Arabidopsis thaliana: one gene and its partner. The protein of the gene in region 1 interacts with the protein of each later gene in a pairwise test. Each region holds a gene or a part of one and is shown on either strand. Other genes may lie near its edges.

Region 1 (7,161 bases):
CTTAGATAGTCTATATAAGCATTTGTGTATGCTTTGCCTGAGCTGATTGGAGTCCATAAGCCTATGATTCTTAACTATCATTTGCAACGTGTCTTCCTTATGCCCTGTGTTTTTGAAAAGGAGACAAGACATAATCTTGAAACTGCATGTTGGTTTAAGTAACCATTTTAAGATTTTCATTTGATTTTTAATGCTTTGGTGTTCAGGTAGCTGTAAACCCGTCCGCAGTGGGTGGGTGCAGTTGTAAAAGCTCCTTCATGGTGAAACTCTGAATCATTGACTCAACTTTCTTCTTTACATGGACTAGAAACCAAATTTGATCATTTGTTTATTACATGTATAATGTCAGAAGTTTTGCTATGTATCAAAAAGGCATAACTAGGGAAAGATACAAAAACTCTGTAGGCTTCTAGCTCAACAAATGATTTGTCCATCCTATTTTTAAACAATAATGGAAAGATTTATACAAAGAGGAATCTTGTATCTTCTCTTAATTTACACAACAGTTGGTCTGTACATGCTCTTGATCATACTTACATAATCTCAAATCACGAGTCCAGCTGATGTCAGTGAGTCTTTGTGAGTACTTAACAGAGAAGAGCGATTCAATTCCTTTAGTTTTCCCCTCTCTACCAAGAACACTCTCTGCGCCATCATCACTGTCTCCAGTCTATGTGCAATCACTATCACCTGTGAATGCAAACATAAGAGCCATGGAACCAGGAAGTTTTTGAATAATATCAGTGATGATTCAATTAAAAGGTTGTTTAGAATGGAAGAATCGGATGTGTGCTTTTACCGTATGGTCTTGCATTACACGTTCAAGAGCTTCTCTGACTAGCAACTCCGACAAACTATCCAATGCTGATGTTGCTTCATCCAAAATCAGTATGGATGATTTCTGATAGAGCGCTCTTGCGATAGCTAGTCTGCACATTTGCCAAATGAGAACAAGACGCAGTAAGCATCGTGAAGAGAATATATGAAACAATCAGTCTTCCAGACCCCACCTTTGCTTCTGGCCTCCGCTTAAGCTTGAACCCCTGGGACCAACTCCTGTGTTGTATCCCTCTGGTAGGTTTCTGATAAATTCATCAGCATTTGCAGTTTTTGCAGCAAGCTCAACTCTCTTCATGTCAATTCCTGTCGTGAGATCTCTGTACCCAATGTTGTCAGCAATTGTCCCTGAAAACAGAGTCTTGCATGTGCAAAAAAAGTTATGTAACTACGATGAACCATTATGAAATTCTTGGGATGAATCACGAAAGGAGTAAATTTGAAGACTGGAACGTACTGTGTCCTGTGAAACTAGACCAACATGTTTCCTCAAACTTTCCAGTTTGATATCCTTGATGTCAATTTTGTCAATGATGATAGAGCCTATTAAAGGGAAGAAAAAAACAAACACACATATGTGCTTAGATGTCAAACCGTTGGTTCTTAATATTGTGATTAAGTTAAGAAGTAAGAATTTCTAACCAGATGAAGGTTCGTAAAGGCGGAGGAGCAATTTGATCAGTGTTGTCTTTCCTCCTCCAGATGGTCCAACAAGAGCTACAGTCTCTCCTGCTTTAATATGAAGATTTAACCCATCCAAAACGGGAAGCATATTTTCGTCATATTTAAATGATATATCGCATAACTCAACTTCTCCAGCAACTTTTTCCAATTGAATGGCCTCAGGTCTCTCGATCACCTAATTTTCAAGACAGGGCCAGAAGCACTTTGCATCATATTTTGAGATAGACAACGAACAAAACCAAATCATTAGGAGTATAAACTGAAGAGAAGATCAGAGGAAAGATAGGGTGTAGTACCTTAGATTCCAAAGAGGTCAAATCAAACAAACGTTCTATCGCTGGCTCTCCTTGTTTCAATTCATTATAAGCTTTTCCCAAATCCTGCATGTTTTTTAGATTCAAAATCCCAATAAGACAGCTCCTCTATACACAAAAAAGTATAGAGGCAAGGCATGGAATGCCACACTGACACAAGTATCTACCTGGACAGGATCGATCAAGAAAGCTAATGATGCCACGAAGGAAACAATTGCACTAGAGCTTAAAGAAGAGCCTGCAAGGATAACAGCTCCAACACAAAATATCGACAATGATCCGAGATACATAACTTGAACAATCTGAGGGATAAGTGACTTCATTTTCTTCTTCTTAAACCGTTCATCTAGGTCAGCACGAGCAAACCTCTGAAACCTCACACTCTCAGAGATCTCTGCGTTATTAGCCTTGACAAACAAAATTGCAGGAAGAACCTAAACATAAAAAGCTCTGCTTTAGTAATTTTCCCGTAAATTAACAAGAAGAAGAAAAACACCAATTGTAGGAAAGACTAATACCTCATTCAAGTAGGTAGAAAGTTGAGCAGAGGCAATCTGTGCTTTTCTAGATATCTTACGAAGCCGGTCACCAAGATATGCTATAAGAAGCGCAACAGATGGTATCACCTAGAACAATACCCAAACTAATAAGAAAACTCTAGAGCAAAAGAGACACAAACAGAGACAATTGATTCACTTACCATTGCAGAGACTAGTGTCAAGGCAGGACTTGCAACAATCATATGTGCCGTCATTACAGATATCTGAATAGCACTGGGCACAACTGTCTGCCATATAAATGAAGTGTAGAGCTTATAGTTGTTAGCCAAAATCACCACAATGTATCAAAAAATTCTGAAAAGAAGGAAACTTTCTCTTCGCAAAACATTCATAACAAGCAAAACACTCACGTTGAGAAGAGCATAGATAGTGTCAGCAACTTCAGAAGCTTCAGCAGTGATCCTGTAAGCAATGTCTCCTGATGAAATCCCATTGCCACCTTCAAAGAACTCTAGTTCTCTCTCTAAAACCCTCCTATACGCGAAAACCCGAATCTTGTAAACAGTATTCAAAGCAGCTTCCCAAAGAAACGCTTGCTGCAGATAATAAGCAACAACCTTAGCCAAAACCAGACCCGCCAAAACGAGACATTCGCCTTTGAGCTTCGTCAAGCTCGCGGCGTTTGCGTTAAGGTTGGAAGTGAAGGAGCCGAGCCTAGGAACAATCTGAGAAAGCGAGACAACAGAGACACAGCTGCAGAGCCAGCCAAGTAGGACGGTTTTAGATTCCGATTGAAGATAGGGTTTAATAGTTTCGAGGGCTTTTAGTGAATTGACTGTTGTATTGGCTCGGAGACGGAGAGCGGAGGGTTTACAGAAGCTCAAAGGTCTCGGAGATGGTTGAAATGGATGTTTGAGAAAGAGAGATGAGCTCCGGCGATGAGATAGCGGCGGCGGAGGAATGAGAAGACACGGCGGCGGTGTTAGGAGGAGAAATGACATTTCTCTCCAAAACAAATTTAATCGAACCAAAACGAATCAACTTCTAATTCTAATTCGGTGATAATTCTTCTGAACCGAACCTAAACCCGAACATTTAAGCGATTGCTAAGAAGTAAGATCTGAGGCCTTTATGAGTTTAATACCCGAGGCCCAACCTGATCTTATCAAGTAAGAGGTTGATATTTAACCCCAAATAGTTTTACTTTACAACTATTAAATAAATTTTAAAACTCATTATACACACTATATTGAATATTTCAAGAGATTTATAGTTTTTGGTAGAAAAACATTTAAACTAAATTTCAGTTAATTTTGTTTGCAATTTAAAACGTTTCGATTAACTTTAGTTGAAATTGTAACATATTGATATATGTATTTTAGATTTAGGTTCGTAACATGGTGGGAGAGGTCCACCACCTAGTATAATTATAGAGCAAATGTCATGAATAAGAAGTTGTTTCAAAACTGTAAAAGTAGTTTGTTGACACAAATGAAAGTTTACAATCAGTTAATAACATATGTATTTTGTTTTGTGAGAGAATTTTAATTTAGTTTGAAATAACTCAGAGAATAAATCTAATTAGATAAAAATATGTGTTAACATTTGTCAAAATATTTAACACCCTTATCTAACTAATATTTAATAAGAAAAAATCAATACTAAATTAAATCATAAAAAATCTCTAAAAATAATAAAATCTGAAAATTATTAATTTATTATAGTAATTAAATTAATTCATTATTTTAATATCTAATCCACCTAGTATGAAATGTTGGACTCATAACCATGAAATGCTGCAGAATGGCCCATAATACACCTAGCTAGTATAAATCTACAAATTTCCATATATTTTGTAAATTATTCAAAAAAATACTCTATATTATTAGAATATATGACGAAAATTAAAACTCTATATTAGATATTTAATTGTAATCAATTTTAGTTCCAGTATTCCTAATTCATTGAGGATTTGTACCACTATATATAAATTATGGAGGGTGAATATATAAACACAAAATTCATTCCAAAACAAAGAGAGGTTAAAAGTAGATGGAGAAGTCCCCGGTGGTCATGGCCGAAGAAGGAGAACACTCGGGAGCTAAGGAACTTCCCAAACCCAAAATCTCCATGTCGGATCTCACCTTTGTCATAGGCGTGTACACAACCAAATCAAAGAAGTTAACAGTTGTAGAATTTGGCGCGGACCGCGAGTTTAACCCTAATGACCGGTTCAAAATAGAAATCGTAGACTTGAGTCGTTTTGAACTGCCCAAGTCTGGTATGGATGATGTAATGATCACTTGGGAAGTCGTTTATAAGAAAGATTGGCAAAACATTGTCACAATCGTTAAAGGTCGAAGGTCATTAGACACAAACTTACGATGGTTGTTCAACGATCTTCTTGCTCCAGAAGATCTAATCAGACGTGGCCTAACCGGCGATGTCAAGGTGAGTTTAAACGGCGACTTACTTGACAAGATCAGCCTTGAGATATTCATTGAAAGCGACCAGAGATATTTTTCCCCTGAAGATACTCTTAGATATCTTCAATGTTTTTTCCCCTCTAAAAACTAATTATTATGTATATACAAAGTCTGTGAAATTTAAAAATATGTAAGCGTTTCTACCTAAATAATCAAGAGCTTTGTTTTGCACCAAAAAATTTACTGCAAAGGCGTTGATGCTTGATGAACAAGAAACCAATCCCCTATTTTTTTTTTATCCCCTATTTTCGAGGGTTTACCGGAGCTCAGAGGTCTCGGAGATTGTTGAAATGGATGTTTGAGAAAGAGAGATGAGCTCCGGCGGTGAGATAACGGCGGCGGTGTTAAGCGGAGGAGAAATGACATTTCTCTCCAAAACAAATTGAATCGAACCAAAAGGAATATCAACTTCTAATTCTAATTTGATGATAATTCGTCTTAACCGAAACTAAACCGAGAATTTAAGCGGTTGCTAAGATCTGAGGCCTTTTAAACCCCGAAGCCCGTTAAAGCCCTTTAACAGCATATTAATATCATGACAATAGTCTTAGTGGTTCCCCGTGCCATGCATAATTGCATATTATTAATTAAATTTATATTTAAACCTATGATATTAAATACATACAATAATAATGTAGTATAAAAATATGTTAACACATAATGTTTAAACCATGAGCAATAAATTTGGAAGTTAATAATATATGCATGTGAAAAGGAGATTATAGGAATTCAATATTTTGTTATAAAAATTACTCCTAATTAATCAATTAACAATTAATGAGAATTAATGCAAAAAAACATAAAAATAATTGAGAGTCATTGTGGTGAGATATAAAGAAGATTTGTAACACTAAAAATATGGATGGTGAATAACATAAAACTCATTCCAAAACAAAGAAAAGAGAAGTCACAGGTGATGATGGCCAAAGAAGGAGAACATTCCGGAGCTAAGGAAGTGAAACTTACCAAACCCAAAATTTCCTTGTCGGATCTCACCTTTGTCATTTACGTAACTACCCGAGAAAAGCTATCATCTTCTACCATAAGTTGTGAGGAGATACCACTTAAGAAATGTGGCGCGGAGCTAGAGTGTGGCTCCAATGATCGATTCCATATACAAGTCGAAAACTTGAGCCATATGGGAATCTCCAAGTCTAGAATGGCTGGTGTAAAGATCGAGTGCGAGGTCATTTATAAGGAAGACTCGGAAGACGAGGCGGTAGTTAGAATCGTTAATGCTGAAAGGCCATTAGGCACAAACTTTGGATGGCTGAACAACGATCTTCTTGCTCCACTAGCTCATCGTGGTCTAACAGCCGAAATCCAGCTGAGTTTCAACAGCGAGTTATTGGACAAGATCGACCTCCAGATATTCCACCGAGGCGAGGGGAGATATTTTTCCCAAGACGATACTCTTGGTTATCTTCAATGTTTTTTCCCATCTAAAATCTAAGTATTTTAGTTATGCAAAGCCTATGAAATATTTAAAAGTACAATTTGTATGCATTTTGTTTGGTCGATTATATGATATTTAAATAAGAATATATTTCTACCTAGATAATCATGAGTTTTGTCAACAAATTGGTAATTAACTTGTAAGGTTTCTGTCTCATTCATTAACTTATACAAAAAAATAATCCGTTTAGAAATTAACCAAATTGGGCTGAAATAGTTTTAGTTACCAGAGCCGAAGCCACGAGGACCAGGCTTGCTTGATGCTGACTCTACAAATTTCTTCCTTGAGTCTGCCTTTCTCTTCCTCCTTGCAGTTCCAGGTGGAGCCTTAAGATACATTTACAAGACCCCATTAAACTCTGGTACATGTTAAAGATGAAGAAGAAGAAGAAGAAGAAATGGAAGAAACCTTTTGTTCTGCTTTCAATGCGTCCTCGAGACCGCTTAATGCTGGAATTGATCCTCCTTCCATCACTCCCATCAAGTTCTTCATTTTCACTCTCATTTGGAAGATTTGTGCTACAAGTGCGCTCACCTGAACCAACAACAACAAAATGGTATTGAGAATCTCCTTCTTCTTGTCTGAGATCTGCACAAAACTAAGCTCACAATCTGAGCGAGAGTACCTGTTGTTCTGTCTTTCCTGAATCTTTAGCGATTCTTTTTCTTCTCTCTGGAGATTCTGCTAGTAACTCTGGTCTCTCTCTTTCCTCTGTTCCAACAGATTTAAACCAAGAATTAGACAACCAAAATCTAGTTTATGAAATGCTTGTTTATTTAATGGAATGGAAGAAAGGAACAGAGACAAACCGGGTGTCATCACTTCAATCATTGCTTCCATGACTAAAAGATTCTTTTCCGCTTCTCGGATTTGTGCTGGACTCA
Region 2 (7,161 bases), on another chromosome or scaffold:
ACCACGCTATTTATTCCAATTAAACAAGTACATAATACTCAACTCACTTTTTTCTACAACAAATATTATATCAAGCTCCACTTGTTTGTAACACTATATCACTTTTGTACAATATTCCCATGATTGTAAAATTTCTTTATATTTTAACAAATAAGTCAGATTTCATACAACAGACCCATAGTAGCACTTCATCTCTATCCAAATAAAAAATGTTTAGTTTAGTTAGTGTGATCACATACACGTAATTCCGACTACAAAACAAGATGTGTTGGTATTGCTGTACAAGATTCTGTCCAAGGAAGTTGATTCTTTCACGATCCAAAATCACTCGATTCTCCTCTAAGCAGCCTTCACAAACATCATATTATCGAGTAGTTTTTAATAATTGTCTAGTTTACCATAACTACTGTGGCTATGTGGTTTATTGGAAAAGTTGTCCATATAGAGCAAAAGTTATAATTATTTTCTATTATATTTCATAATTTAATTACTAGACAAATTTCAGAATTATTTTCAAGATTCCTGGATTTTTCCTATCTCTTCCCATTCCCAATACATTCTTTGCGCCGTTCTTACAAACTTGAACATCATAGAATCTCAAATCAGTGACTAATTTGTTAATATGATTATCACTTTAGATTTTGCTTGGTTTTCTGAAATCAAAGAAAACAAGGAGAAAATTTTAACAGTAATTTCAGTATATTTTGTATCACATGAATTTTAGTTTATATATGTAAGTTTAGCGATTTTTGTTATAAAAAATAGAACTTTCATTTATATTTTTTTTTTTCTTAGTCTCTCCGATTAACAACATTCAAAGTTAATAGTTTACAGACAGGATCGATTTTGATTGTTTTTGTTCTATTACTTGAATTTAACTTCTTTTTTTTTTTCAATACTCAAAATTTAACTAGTTAAAGAACCATTAATCCTCCAAATACCATGAAAAACTGAAAAGTTGTATTTACATTTGATTCAGTTATTTCTGTCCAATGTTAATTAAGTTTTTCTAAATCCAAATCCAAATACACAATAATTTGAAGTCAAACTTACACCAGCTCAACTTTGTTAGTGCCAAAAACATGCCTAATAAAAATTGATTTGAAAATCCACGAATATAAAGATACCGGTACTACTTACGGAAGGCAACTTAGTTTAATACAAACTCGTAGGAAGCAAAAATAGACCATTCACTCCGAAAAGGACGTAGAAGTTTAGGCCAATATAATAATTGATATGTTCACCCATTTCCTGGCACCTTATTATTGGAGTACCCACTTTTATTTGTGTCACATGGAACTAATGGACTAAAACTTGCAAATCTTAAAATGAGTCAGTAAAAGGAGGCTAGACATAAGACATTAAAGAATCCCAACATCATGATACTTAAAGATACGAGTCACTAACTTTTTTTGTCCCAATATCAATGATGAATCACCTTTCTCATTGTTGCTACTGCATTTTTCTCTTATTTTAAGACCAAATATAAACAAAATACAAGTTAATACATCTCTGAGCATGTGTTGATTCGATTATCAATCGGATTAAAGATTTGAATATACAAATCAGATTAAATCAGGAGCTTGATAAGGAGCTAGTTCAAATATAATAATCAAAATTATGGTAAACCTGAACCCATTTTCTAACAGCGAAGAGGGGCACTGGTTCGGAAACCAAGCAAGGTGGATGCGGTGACGGGAAGGGAACAATAAAATGAACATATGAAAACCATTTAGTAGGGTTTAAAAATGTTTATTATTTTTGGTAGAAGAAGGTTAAGACTTGAGACCATATAGACAGCTGATATATTCATATACATGGGCGGTTCTTGGAAGGATCTAGGGGAGCAAATGTCCCATGTTATCGGCTGATGTATTAGATTACATGCATAAGCGTTATTGTTACGATCATGTGAAGCAAAAACACGGCGTTCGAGGATCAACAGACCCACCACACGTAAGCGTCTCTCAAAAATCAAAATTGGTCTGCTACAAACCTACTTTCCCGCCAGCTAAACCAAGATTATTCATTTTATTTTTATTTTTTCTGCTACACAAAAACAAAAAACTCATCTAAGTTGGTATTTATTGTTTATATAATCTTTGTTTAAATGTTTGATAAAGAGCTCACTAACTTTATAAGTAATTAGCTAGTATATTTTGTTTAGCAAAAAAAAAAATAGCTAGTATAGAAAAACAAGCCAAATAATTTATTTATTTTTTGGTCAAGGAACAAGCCTAATAATTATGGTTGATATTTTTGATGTAATTGACATCGTAAGTATGTAATACGTCGTCCTCCAGTAAAAGTGTTGAATGGTGAACGACAATTGTAGAGCGATAACCTCATTTTTTTTAGGTAAATTTGTTTTTTAATCCATCATATCAATTCTTTCAAAGAAAAAATGAACCAACCATTTGTATAACGTGCGTTCAACCTGTTACCTCTACATGCAGCATAAAATTTGTGATAGTGACGAATAACGTTGATTACTCTTTGTACTTCCTTGATTTTAGTGAATGTAATGTTGCTCTATCGAGGTGGAGCCTCGTAACATTGGTAAGGCTACAAAAATGAACATCGCTCTCTCTCTTCTTTAAGCATTCCTAAATCGTGTTTTTGTTTTTCTTTTTGGCAGCATCTTTTATTTTGTTTAAACGCCTAAAACTGCCTTTGATCTTTTTTCCTTTTTATTGATAGAATGAGATAGGACAACAAATACCTTTTTTGCCGGGAAAATTCAAAGGTTGTTGATGATTCCTTGTGTCCGCAACTAGAAAGAGAAAAGTCTGTCGTATCAAATTAGATATTGACAAAAATGTCAAAATATATGAAGAAGTGTGAGGGGAAACCGTTGATTGAACGTAAGACATTTGAAAAATGGATATGTAGTAGTTTCTAGATTTGCTTACAAGGAATGTTGAGTTGTATCATTTTCTCTAACGCAATAGCTAACGTGCACGACTTTTTTTTTTTTATGTAAACTTCAAACAAACCACGATCAACGCGTTTACTATTTATTGCATGGAAACTATAGCAAGTGTGACAACTCATATCAATTTGTGATGAATTGATTAACTACGTAGGTAGTATAATATTTGTAAGTTGGTTATTCACGTAAGAAATATTGTATTTTACTCTTATCCAGATTATTTAAGAACTCGTTTTTCAATATAATGTTTGACATTTTATACTCGAGTTAATAAACAAATTAGCTTTACATTGACAAAATTCTGTTGTATATTATTTATAATTAATCTTGACTATGGGTAATTAAATAATATTTTTTTGGAAAAAAATACATTGGATTTTCTCAAATGATCACACTTCTATTAAAACCAAAATAGTACGTATACGCTCTAGACGATTCTAAATAGATGATTAATTTGGCTCGATTCATTAATTCAAAAAATAATAATATTTAGTGTTTTAAATTAGAATTAAAATATTAAATAATTATCGGATATTTCAGTGTTTTAAATTATTGAGGATGATTTTTGTTTAGTAATGACGTCAGATTGTCTAAGGAATAGTTTGGGAAAAAAATCTGAATCAAATATGACTAACAAATGGTTATTGGTTATTGAACTGGACCATAACAAAAAGACACACACACAAAAAAAAAAACTTTTTTTATCTGGTTTGCTCCATGGATAAGAATATAGTAGCTAGGATATCCTGATCTTTAGATAACGGTAGAACATGTGGCATGTGTTTATTGTTTATTTTTATTTTATTTTGAGAACAAAATAGTTACATTGTTTGGTTATATATAAAAAAAAAACAGACCAAAAAGACAAAACCAAAGCTTAAACAAAAAAAGAAAAGAAAAACTTAATTAGACCGGTTAACACTAAACTGGTTTATGTAAAACGGATTCATAAATGTATCTAGACATTCACTTACATAAAATTCATCACAAAATTTCACCCAATTACGGTTTTGATTCGGTATAGGGACCACCTTCAAAATTACCCAATAAATAAAGAGTGGATAACAACTAGCATAAAATAATCAAAGCATCCACTAAGACACAAAACACAATTTCATAAAGATGATGATGAATCACATAACTTTAAATAAATATTCTTTCAAAAAGGCAAAACTTTTAAATAAATATCATTCGCCTGTCGGCCAAGAAAAAAAAAAAGTAAACAAAAATAAATATCATACGTATTGACAACAAAAAATTCATACGCCAGTCCAATTACAAATTACACAATATTTAAAAATTTAAATAAGGAAAACAGAAGAAGATACAATTTCAAATTAAAAAACAAAATACGTGTATATAAAATTGAATAAAACCCCAACAGAAACGTGACACAAAAGAAAAGATTGGGGAAGCTGACCTCTGCCTTTCCTCCTCCATTAATCAAGGAATATAAATCAGCTTTAAACTCAGTCCTCTTATGGAAGACAAAAAAGCAAATATTTATTCGTAAATATAACTTCAGAACCCTTTCAACAAAACTCTCTCTGTTCTTTCTCCGTGGAGAAGTTAAAGATGACGATGTCGGAGAACTCAAGAAACTTGGAAGCTGGTTTGCTACTGAGGAAGAACCAAAACGACATCAACGAATGTCGTATCACTGCTGTTGTACTTTTCAGTACTTTCGTTTCTGTTTGTGGCTCTTTCTGCTTCGGTTGTGCGGTTAGTCATCAAATCACTCATCTTTTTTTTAAAACAATTTCTCTGTTTGTTTTGCTCTGTGATTTGAAAGTTTGGGGTTGGATTTTACAGGCAGGTTATTCATCAGTTGCTCAAACAGGGATCATAAATGATTTAGGTCTCTCTGTTGCACAAGTAAGAAGCAACCCTCTCTCTTTTCTTGAATCTTTACTCAAAAAGTGCTAGTTTTGCTTAAATTACTCTGTTTTTTTGTTTTTGTTTACTACTTCAGTACTCCATGTTTGGTTCAATCATGACTTTTGGAGGAATGATTGGTGCCATCTTCAGCGGGAAAGTTGCAGATCTCATGGGTCGAAAAGGGGTAAATTTCCTGACAATTTGAAATTCATACAAACATATGTTTCAAGATCATGTACTGATGAATTTTTCTCTTAAACAGACTATGTGGTTTGCTCAAATTTTCTGCATCTTCGGTTGGGTTGCAGTAGCATTAGCAAAAGACTCCATGTGGCTTGATATTGGAAGACTATCCACAGGATTTGCAGTTGGTTTATTAAGCTATGTGGTAATAATTCTTTTACTTTCTTTTTTTCCATTTATTTTGTGTATTATATACTTATTTATTTTTACTGACTTTGTGTTAACTCTGTTGCCTTCAGATACCAGTTTACATTGCAGAAATAACACCAAAACATGTTCGAGGAGCGTTTGTATTTGCTAATCAGGTAAACTAAAGAATAATTAGAGAATAAATTCTTATAACCATAAAATAAAAAAGATATATATTATACTAATGTTCTTAAAATTTGTTCAAATGTCGTTACAGCTGATGCAGAGTTGTGGATTGTCTTTATTCTACGTCATTGGAAATTTTGTTCATTGGCGTAACTTGGCCTTAATCGGTAAGCTTCTTCCTAATCCTTTTTTTCTTTCTAGCAGGTTAGTTATGAAATTTTCATCAAGAAGTGATTTAAGTTTATCGGTTTCTGTCTCTCAGGTCTCATTCCATGTGCGTTGCAAGTTGTGACTTTGTTCTTTATTCCAGAGTCCCCTAGACTACTGGTACGTTTAGCCCTTTTTAAGTTTTGATCTTTTTTAAAAAAAGTGTGAAGTAAAACTCAATATGGTTTACAATGGTGTATAGGGAAAATGGGGACATGAAAAAGAATGTAGAGCTTCATTGCAAAGTCTTCGCGGAGATGATGCAGATATCTCTGAAGAAGCCAACACTATCAAAGTATTGCAACTTTTCACACATCTCTCTGTTTTTAAATTGTGTTGTTTTCAATAAAACATGACTAATGAACAAATCATTGGAAATGTCAACTATAGGAAACCATGATCTTGTTTGATGAAGGACCAAAATCGCGGGTTATGGATTTGTTTCAGAGAAGATATGCTCCATCTGTTGTTGTAAGTTTATTCTCAAACGTTTTGTGACAAAAAAAGTTGATTTTCTCTTGTACCGTTATACTTACTCTCTGAAGTTTGTGACATTTTGTTCAGATTGGTGTGGGACTAATGCTTCTACAACAACTCTCTGGAAGCTCAGGACTTATGTACTATGTCGGTAGCGTATTTGATAAAGGAGGTAAATAGATAAACAAACTCTGTTTCGCATGTTACGATAATTTACTGTCTTCATTTGGGAGTAACAAATATTTTCTTACTAATGGCAGGGTTTCCAAGCAGCATTGGCTCAATGATTCTTGCAGTGATCATGGTATGTCTTTGTACGTAGTTTCATTTATTCGTGAAAAATCTTGCCAAGAAGTACACTTATGCTCATGTGTTCTGCTTTTGTAGATACCAAAAGCTCTATTGGGTCTGATTTTGGTTGAGAAAATGGGACGAAGACCACTTCTATTGGTAAGATTTTGCTATCTGATCTTTTGGTCAAATATCAAATGAAGCAACAAAATTTAGCATATATCTTTTAACAGATGAATGATCTTTATTTACAGGCCTCTACCGGTGGAATGTGCTTTTTCAGCTTGCTCCTCAGTTTTTCCTTCTGCTTTCGGGTAATTAACATTAACGATTCGCTTTCTAACCAAAGATATATACAAACTTTTTTTGCTGCTGTTTATTGGAGATTCTTACCAGTTATACTAAAATTTTTCTACTTTTGTTCTTGGACAGTCATATGGCATGCTTGATGAGCTCACTCCGATTTTCACATGTATCGGTGTAGTGGTACGTTTAAAGTCATTTCTTAGACATAATAAACAAGCAACTTAAAGTATAGCTCTTGTATAACTTGATCTGAATTTGACATCATATTACAGGGTTTCATCTCTTCATTTGCCGTAGGCATGGGAGGCTTACCATGGATCATCATGTCTGAGGTAAACAAACATGAACATTAACATTAACTCCTCAAAAACCGACATATATATATTTTTTCCAGCTCTAAAAAATGTTACATTTTTTATTTTGCAGATATTCCCAATGAATGTTAAAGTTTCTGCTGGGACTCTGGTTACCTTAGCCAACTGGTCCTTTGGTTGGATTGTTGCTTTCGCCTA

Evidence for each region. Proteins that work in one complex are often made in the same cells at the same time.
Region 2: the proteins of ABCB29 (region 1) and ESL1 interact in a protein complementation assay, tested with the Arabidopsis thaliana proteins (one large-scale study listed by BioGRID).

Annotation. Positions count from the first base shown.
Region 1 is NC_003076.8:1,053,770-1,060,930, forward strand, and holds ABCB29 (ABC2 homolog 12), read right to left. Parts: upstream 3,404-7,161; 5' UTR 3,337-3,403; coding exon 2,746-3,336; intron 2,623-2,745; coding exon 2,536-2,622; intron 2,462-2,535; coding exon 2,354-2,461; intron 2,270-2,353; coding exon 2,003-2,269; intron 1,902-2,002; coding exon 1,818-1,901; intron 1,697-1,817; coding exon 1,480-1,696; intron 1,381-1,479; coding exon 1,295-1,380; intron 1,199-1,294; coding exon 1,011-1,198; intron 930-1,010; coding exon 800-929; intron 691-799; coding exon 544-690; 3' UTR 309-543; downstream 1-308. Other genes in the region: AT5G03905 (Iron-sulfur cluster biosynthesis family protein), read left to right, coding at 207-272; AT5G03920 (F-box protein), read left to right, coding at 4,388-4,912; AT5G03930 (F-box protein), read left to right, coding at 5,738-6,274; CPSRP54 (chloroplast signal recognition particle 54 kDa subunit), read right to left, coding at 6,496-6,603, 6,686-6,811, 6,903-6,988, 7,087-7,161.
Region 2 is NC_003070.9:2,862,939-2,870,099, forward strand, and holds the start of ESL1 (ERD (early response to dehydration) six-like 1), read left to right. Parts: upstream 1-4,320; 5' UTR 4,321-4,507; coding exon 4,508-4,654; intron 4,655-4,744; coding exon 4,745-4,807; intron 4,808-4,904; coding exon 4,905-4,994; intron 4,995-5,072; coding exon 5,073-5,198; intron 5,199-5,292; coding exon 5,293-5,358; intron 5,359-5,459; coding exon 5,460-5,535; intron 5,536-5,630; coding exon 5,631-5,695; intron 5,696-5,777; coding exon 5,778-5,870; intron 5,871-5,965; coding exon 5,966-6,046; intron 6,047-6,139; coding exon 6,140-6,224; intron 6,225-6,312; coding exon 6,313-6,356; intron 6,357-6,439; coding exon 6,440-6,502; intron 6,503-6,576; coding exon 6,577-6,657; intron 6,658-6,775; coding exon 6,776-6,829; intron 6,830-6,921; coding exon 6,922-6,981; intron 6,982-7,075; coding exon 7,076-7,161. UniProt on the Arabidopsis thaliana protein: Sugar transporter. Transports monosaccharides across the vacuolar membrane independently from a proton gradient.